2 linked regions of the Macaca mulatta genome follow. The protein of the gene in region 1 purifies or fractionates together with the protein of each later gene. This does not show direct contact. Links are inferred from orthologs where the notes say so. Each region holds a gene or a part of one and is shown in the gene's direction. Other genes may lie near its edges.

The links. Proteins that work in one complex are often made in the same cells at the same time.
Region 2: the proteins of ANKRD46 (region 1) and ATRN purify together in Homo sapiens (co-immunoprecipitation; 3 studies listed by BioGRID and IntAct, with this or other methods). This does not show direct contact. The link is inferred for Macaca mulatta from reciprocal best matches to the Homo sapiens genes ANKRD46 and ATRN.

The regions. Positions count from the first base shown.
Region 1 is NC_133413.1:110,862,259-110,865,919, reverse strand, and holds the end of ANKRD46 (ankyrin repeat domain-containing protein 46), read left to right. Parts: intron 1-1,241; coding exon 1,242-1,458; 3' UTR 1,459-2,928; downstream 2,929-3,661.
Region 2 is NC_133415.1:80,514,515-80,518,567, reverse strand, and holds part of ATRN (attractin), read left to right. Parts: intron 1-796; coding exon 797-1,040; intron 1,041-2,420; coding exon 2,421-2,604; intron 2,605-3,350; coding exon 3,351-3,505; intron 3,506-4,053. UniProt on the Homo sapiens protein: Involved in the initial immune cell clustering during inflammatory response and may regulate chemotactic activity of chemokines. May play a role in melanocortin signaling pathways that regulate energy homeostasis and hair color.

The DNA.
Region 1 (3,661 bases):
CTTTATGCAGAAGAGAAATGAACATATTCTGTCTTATTGTACAAGATAGAACTAAAACGAGTAGGAAGAAACTATTAAGAATTCCTAATGACTAGGCCAGCTGTGGTGGCTCATTCCTGTAATCCTAGCACTTTGGGAGATCAAGGCAGGTGGATCACCTAAGCTCAGGAGTTCAAGACCAACCTGGGCAACATGACGAAACCCTGTCTCTACTGAAAATACAAAAATTAGCCAGCCATGGTGGTGTGCACCTGTAGTCCCAGCTACTTGGGGGGCTAAGGCAGGAGGATTGCTTGAGCCGGGGAGGTGGAGGTTGCAGTGAGCCGAGATCACATCACTGCATTCCAGCCTGGGCGGCAGAGTGAGATTCTGTCTCCAAAAAAAAAAAAAAAAATTCTGATAACTAGATGAGTCCACATGGACAACAGGCTGAAGAGTAAGCTTCCATTATTAGAGAATTACACTTAAAGAAGGAATTCCTTCATTGGTCAGATTATTGAACTAAATTAATAAAAATTCCCTTTTAACTTTAAGATTCACACACACTATATAAGTGACTTTTTAGATTTACTCATCTTTCCCACCACTGCCCCCTCAAACAGACGTTTGTTTTCTCAGTTCTAGGGCCTAGAAGTCTGAGATCAAGGTGTCACAAAGTTGGTTTCTTCTAAGGCCTCCCTGCTTGACTTGTAGATGACTGTCCTCTTCAGGTGTCATCACCTGCGTGTCTGATTATTCATATTAATACGTTCTTAAATTATGAGTCTACCCTTTGAATCTTCTAAATTTAACATAACAATAATGTATTGTGGTTTAATATCTTGATGGAAACAACTCATTTAACCTATTTCAAGACTTCTGCTCAGGACACCTTAAAAAAAATAGAGATGGGGTCTCGCTATGTTACCCAGGCTGGTCCCGAACTCCTGGGCTCAAGTGATCCTCCCTCCTTGGCCTCCAAAAGTGCCAGGATTACCGGCATGAGCCGCCATGCCCAACCAGGACCTTTTTAACAGAATTTTTAACTTGACTTTACTAAATTCTAAACCAAGAGAAACATACTCATTACCATTTAGCAATTTACAGTTTACGATATATTGTTCAGATACATAAGCATGTAAGAGTGTATATATGTATGTGTGTGTGTGTATTTGGTCTTTTCTAAATAATAGTCCTATAGTTTTATGTTTTTGGAATTGCTGTGTTTTTTAATGCCCTTTTTGCTCTTTCTTCTTCCACAGTGCTATGGAAAGCCATTCACTCCTCAATCCCAACCTGCAGCAAGGTGAAGGGGTCCTTTCCAGCTTCCGAACCACGTGGCAGGAGTTTGTGGAGGATCTGGGCTTCTGGAGAGTGTTGCTTTTGATCTTCGTCATTGCTTTGCTGTCTCTTGGCATTGCCTATTATGTGAGCGGGGTGCTGCCCTTTGTGGAAAACCAGCCTGAACTGGTGCATTAAAGGAGCTCATGGAAGATGAGGCAATGAATTGCCTATTTCCTGGCTTCCAATGTTTGTTCTCAGTTTCTCAGAATTTTTCTTAGTGCAAAGCAGTGAGGGCGGTACATGTTTCTTTTTGCATTTTTAATTATTGTAATCCTTTTAGATAACGATGTGTTCATTTGAACTAACTACATATTATGATCAAGTATATTGCATCCTAACGCTACCTCTGACTCAACCTGACTTTGTAGGAAAACCTGCACATAGCCTTGTTTGGTAAAAACACAAATGACTAGAGAATGGAAGATAAAGGAAGAGGCTAGGAAGTCCTTGCTATCAAAACCTTATCCTAATATAGGACCAGTTGAAGTATTCAAAAAGAAAAACAGTGTCTTATATGATTAGTTTTTGTTGGTGGTTTTGTTTTCATTTATTTTTGCAAGAGCCACTTTTTATTTACTGTCTCTAGGGACAAGAGATAATTTAAAACTTGAAGTACTTTTTTCAAATCTTGTGCAGCAAATTAGTATTGTTAGAATCTATTCGGCTTATTTTAGTATTTTTAAGTCTAGTCACAAACCAAACAAAACTTTTGAAAATGAGCTATATTTTGTTCAAAGGTGATTGATTTGATCTTATATTTATTTGTTTTTAGGTTAATTTTTGATTTTTTGTAAACTGCTTTGCTCGTTAATATCTGTGAAAAATAAACGAGTTCATTTTGTTCACTTTCCGATTTTCCCTGGTACCCTATTCGTCAGAGATAACCATTCATCAGAATTACAGTCAGAAAATCCTTTTTCTATTGAAGAGTTAGCAGGGAAAAATAATTCTGATATTTAACTGTCATAAATCTGTAGTGCTATTATAGTGAAAAATTCAGTTCTATAAGCTAGCTGTGTTGTCACAGTTTTATCATAGTTCATAATTATTTCATGTGCAGTTCTATTTAGAGGCCCTGTTAGACTTTTAACAATCCCATCCATATCTGTAATTCTCTGATGGCAAGAATGGATGGAGCATTTCTGAGTTAACGTGCTGAACAGTATTGTACTGGGTGTCATAAACTCTTTATGAATGGTAATATTATGTAAATTGAAATCTGGCCCTCAAACTATATTGCAGCTTTCAGCAATATGTTTGAAGGCCTCTTTTGTTAATGATCCTGTAATGTATGAATTATGTTCTTGAGTTATTAAAAAAGAATATGAAGGCTTGATAATTATTCATTGGGTAAAGTCAGGAAATTGAAGTGAAAGAACTAATGGTTTTGTTTTTTGGAATACAGGCACCTAAGCTATTGCTAATTGAATTGCTGCTAGAATTAGAAATTATGCTTTAGAATAGAATTGGTATTTCTGTGATTCTTTTTGCTTCTTGGTGTTTTCTCTTGTATCTGTATATCTAGTATTGAGGCTCGCTCTTTCATGTGGCTTTATCCTCTCTCTAATAGCTGTTGTAAAATTCCTGAGTAACTGGCTGCTTCAGGATCAGCTTGCAGAGTCTTGCTTTTAGGTTAGATACAAAGTAAATCATAGTTGGTGTAAATACAGCAAAAAACAGCTGGCTTTAGAATGGAGAACACTACAATTCAAATTTGAAGTATATTCAGAAGAAAACTTTGCTTTACATTTGTTTGTAAATCTAAACAAATATGCAAAATTGGTCAAAATTTAAGTATATAGCATTTTTGAAGATTAATGGTTCCTTGTATGTGCTGATTTCTTTGTATTCTGTTCTCTGCATTCATCATTCAGGAATACTACCAATAAATGTATTTATATATCCCTTAATCATGATTTGTCTTTTTTTTTTTTTTTTTAAGTGTATTATAGTTTTTCTTGTAATCTGGGGATTTTGTAACGGATTGCAATTAGCTGCTTTTTAAAACACAGCTTTTTTTCAAACCTAATGTGATAGGTATATTGAGTTTCATTTATGTTTGCCTTATAAATACTCAAACTAGTTTGAGTGAATTGCTTGTAGATTTAAGGGTGATGATAATAACTACCACAATTAAGCCCCTCCCAATTATGCAAGTTTTTAGCGTGCCTCACCTCATTTTACCCTACGCTCCCTTGAGCACTACATGTCCCCAGTTTATAAGATGAGAAAATGGACACAGGGAAGGCTAAGTAACTTGTCCAAGGTCAAACAGGTAGGTCTTGGTAGAAGAGGGATTCCAGATTAAGGCTCCAGCCCCAATTATGCTTGCTCTTTC
Region 2 (4,053 bases), on another chromosome or scaffold:
TCCTTTTATACTGTAAAAGATTCATGTGAGGAAGTCCAAAGAAAACTGGTGAAGTATTAGAGATGTAAAATATGATTAGTTTTATTTCCCTTTTTCCTTTTTTTATCCTTTTCCTAGTAATTCACTGAAAGGTGCCTTTGCTAACCCTTAAAATTTTTTAAGTTTATTTTTTATTGAGGTAAAATATACATATATAATGGTACCATCTTTACCATTTTTAAGTGTACAGTTTGGTGGTAATAAATACATTTACATTCTTTTTTTCCTTCTTCATTCTCCCCCGCCAGCCTGCCAGCCTCTGGTAACCACCAGTCTATTCTCCATCTTCATGAGATCCACTTTTTTAGCTCCCACATATGATTAATAATGTGATATTTGTCTCTCTGTGCTTGGCTTATTTTACTTAACATAATGACCTCCAGTTCAATCCATGTTGCTACAAAATGACTGGATGTCATTCTTTTTAACGGCTGAATAATGCTCCATTGTGTATATATACACCACATTTTCTTTATCTAATTATCCATTGATAGACACTTACATTGATTCCATGTTTTGGCTATTATGAATTGCGCTACAGTTAACATAGGAGTGCAGATATCTCTTTGGTATGTTCATTTCCATTCTTTTGGATACATACCCAATATTGAAATTGTTGGATCATAGGGTAGTTCTATTTTTAGTTTCTTTACTAACCTTTTTTAAGCTGAAAGTAATATTGAGCTTTTGTTCTTCTCTGTTCTCAGATTTAATCTTTTCAGTGTTTTTTAAAATTTTGTTTGCATTTTTTTCCTAGGATAAAATTTACATGTATGGAGGAAAAATTGATTCAACTGGGAATGTGACCAATGAGTTGAGAGTTTTTCACATTCATAATGAGTCATGGGTATTGTTGACTCCTAAGGCAAAGGAGCAGTATGCAGTGGTTGGGCACTCCTCACACATTGTTACGCTGAAGAATGGCCGAGTGGTCATGCTGGTCATCTTTGGTCACTGCCCTCTCTATGGATATATAAGTAATGTGCAGGAATATGATTTGGGTAGGTATATTTTTTCTAGTAGATGCCTTTTGAACATCAGATTCAAAACCTCTAAGCTTATTATTTTGACTGTTTAGAAAGGTTCAACCTCATATTGATTCAGTACTTTATCTTGAAACATAGTTAACACTGGGCCCGGGCGTGGTGACTCATGCCTGTAATCCCAGCACTTTGGGAGGCTGACGTGGGCAGATCACCTAAGGTCAGGAGTTCAAGACCAGCCTGGCACCAACATGGTGAAACCCCGTCTGTACTAAAAATACAAAATTTAGCCCAGCATGGTGGCAGGCACCTATAATCCCAGCTACTCAGGAGGATGAGGCAGGAGAATCGCTTGAACCTGGGAAGTGGAGGTTGCAGTGAGCCAAGATTGCACCACTGCACTCCAGCCTTAGGGAGAGAGTGAGCCTCTGTCTCAAAACAAACAAACAAACAAACAAAAACCAATATAGTTAACATTGATGTATTACCAGTGAAATACAGATTATTGATACTCCTATGTAGTATGTGTTTTTTACTGTCAGTTTGGTAAGGAGCCAAAGATGACCCAAAGTACTCTGGGTATTTAAAATAAATAAAAAGAAAATGGTTCAAAACAACAAATATTGAAGAAAAAAAGTATTTGCCTAGCCCTTTAGAGATTGGTTTAGCGGAGTATGATTTACCCTTAATATAAAATATTTCCTTTGGTTAAATTTCATTGTATCTGTTGTTGTGCAGTAGGAATACCAGGTATAATTAACATTTTGTGAAAAGTAGGCCTATAAAATATATCTGTATATTGGTCACCAAAGGTTATAGGGAATTAAATGTTCATTTGAGTGGAATCTGATCTTTTTATTTTATGTATTGAGACAAGACCTCACTCTCTCACACAGGCTGGAGTGCAGTGGCACAATCATAGCTCACTGCAGCCTTGATGCCCTGTCCTCAAGTGATCCTCCCACCTTAGCCTCCCTAGTAGCTGGGACTACAGGTGCGTGCCACCACTCCTGGCTAATTTTTTAATTTTAGTAGAGATGGGATCTTACTATGTTGCCCAGGCTGGCCAACATAGCAGGCTTCAAGTGATCCTCCTACCTTAGCCTCCCAAAGTGCTGGGATTATACATGTGAGCCACTTCGCCTGGCCCTGAGTGTTTTAAATTTAGTTAATTCTTTTCTTACATGGCATATTAGAACATCAGAACATAGAACAGACTGGAATTAGGCCACATGGCTTTGTTACAAGTTTAGGTGACTTTCTTTAAAATATAAAGATAAAAAAGTATATGTATCAGGTCTCCTGAAATCCCTTCTCGTGCCCTAAGCGCTTTGGACATTTTCAGTAGTAGAGAGGAGGAGCCTGCCATGCTTGCCTTTAACTGTTTTTCCTTTCCAGATAAGAACACGTGGAGTATATTACACACCCAGGGTGCCCTTGTGCAAGGGGGTTACGGCCATAGCAGTGTTTATGACCACAGGACCAGGGCCCTGTATGTTCATGGTGGCTACAAGGCTTTCAGTGCCAATAAGTACCGGCTTGCAGATGATCTCTACCGATATCATGTGGATACCCAGATGTGGTGGGTACTTTTTCTTGAGCTTTCACTTTAAGGTGTAAATTCTGTAGAGGCAGTTGTTGAGAAAATATTGTGCTATCTTTTTGTTTTTATGCCTGGCAGTTAATTCTGTTCAGCGTTGTATATAGAGAAATTGGGAAATAAACAGAGGGTAATAAAGTAGCTAGTATTTGTTTTGTTGCATTATTCTGTAATTCTGTAGTAGGTTGGTTAGAAAATGCTTAGTTTTTTTTAACAAATATAAAGCAAATTTGAGTTATGAAATAATGTAATTATAAAGCGATGGTTTCTCTTCTTTTTCCTCACCTATTTGATACCCTGCTATGGATACTGTTTTATATTCTGTCATAAAAATTATCATTTTGAGTAGCTGTGGAATACTCCATTTTGTGGGTATGCTGAGACTGTGCAGGTGAAAGTTTTGGTTTCCTTCTAGTTTTTATGTTATTAAGAAACCATTATGCATTAAGCTTCTGTCAATATTTCACATGATTTCTGCCCAGAAACTAGAATTATATAGCTACAGAGTATGAAGAGTTTAAGGTTCTTAATATTTGCCAAAATTCTTACAGGTCTTTAAAATTATATATATTTATTGTCGAAAAAGTTACTTATATGTAGGGAAAAATCTGGAAGGATTTGTACCTTTGGGTCTGAGGTTAATAAAGTGGTTGTGCTTGCATTAGCAGATACATAAATATTCTTTAAAAACTAACCTTGTATTTATTATTTCTAAATAAACTCAAAAGGACCATTCTTAAGGACAGCCGATTTTTCCGTTACTTGCACACAGCTGTGATAGTGAGTGGAACCATGCTAGTATTTGGAGGAAACACACACAATGACACATCTATGAGCCATGGTGCCAAATGCTTCTCTTCAGATTTCATGGCTTATGACATTGGTAAGTTTCCCAAAACCATTTTAGCTTCAGGCATCTTTTTGTCTATAAGCAACATTTAAAAGGAGACTGGAAATATTGCCAGTTAAAAATGGTCAGGCCTGGCTAACCTGGTGAAACCCCGTCTCTACTAAAAAATACAAAAAACTTGCCGGGCGAGGTGGCGGGCGCCTGTAGTCCCAGCTACTTGGGAGGCTGAGGCAGGAGAATGGCGTAAACCCGGGAGGCGGAGCTTGCAGTGAGCTGAGATGAGATCCGGCCACTGCACTCCAGCCCGGGCGACAAAGCGAGACTCCGTCTCAAAAAAGAAAAAAAGGTCAGGCCATTTGAAAGAGGTCCAAATGGTATTTTTTATATTCCTTTGACTAATGTTACATATCTGATAAAAATTATTTCTACATTAAATTCTTTTTGAAATAACTCCTGTTAATTGCTTGAATGCTAATTTTTGAGGCTGAGTTAAGGTGTCTAGTCTCTCCTTTGTAATGTTATGCCTACCTGGTAGTGTTACATAGTTGCAACCACCAGCATTGTGTTAAAATTGGTTCACT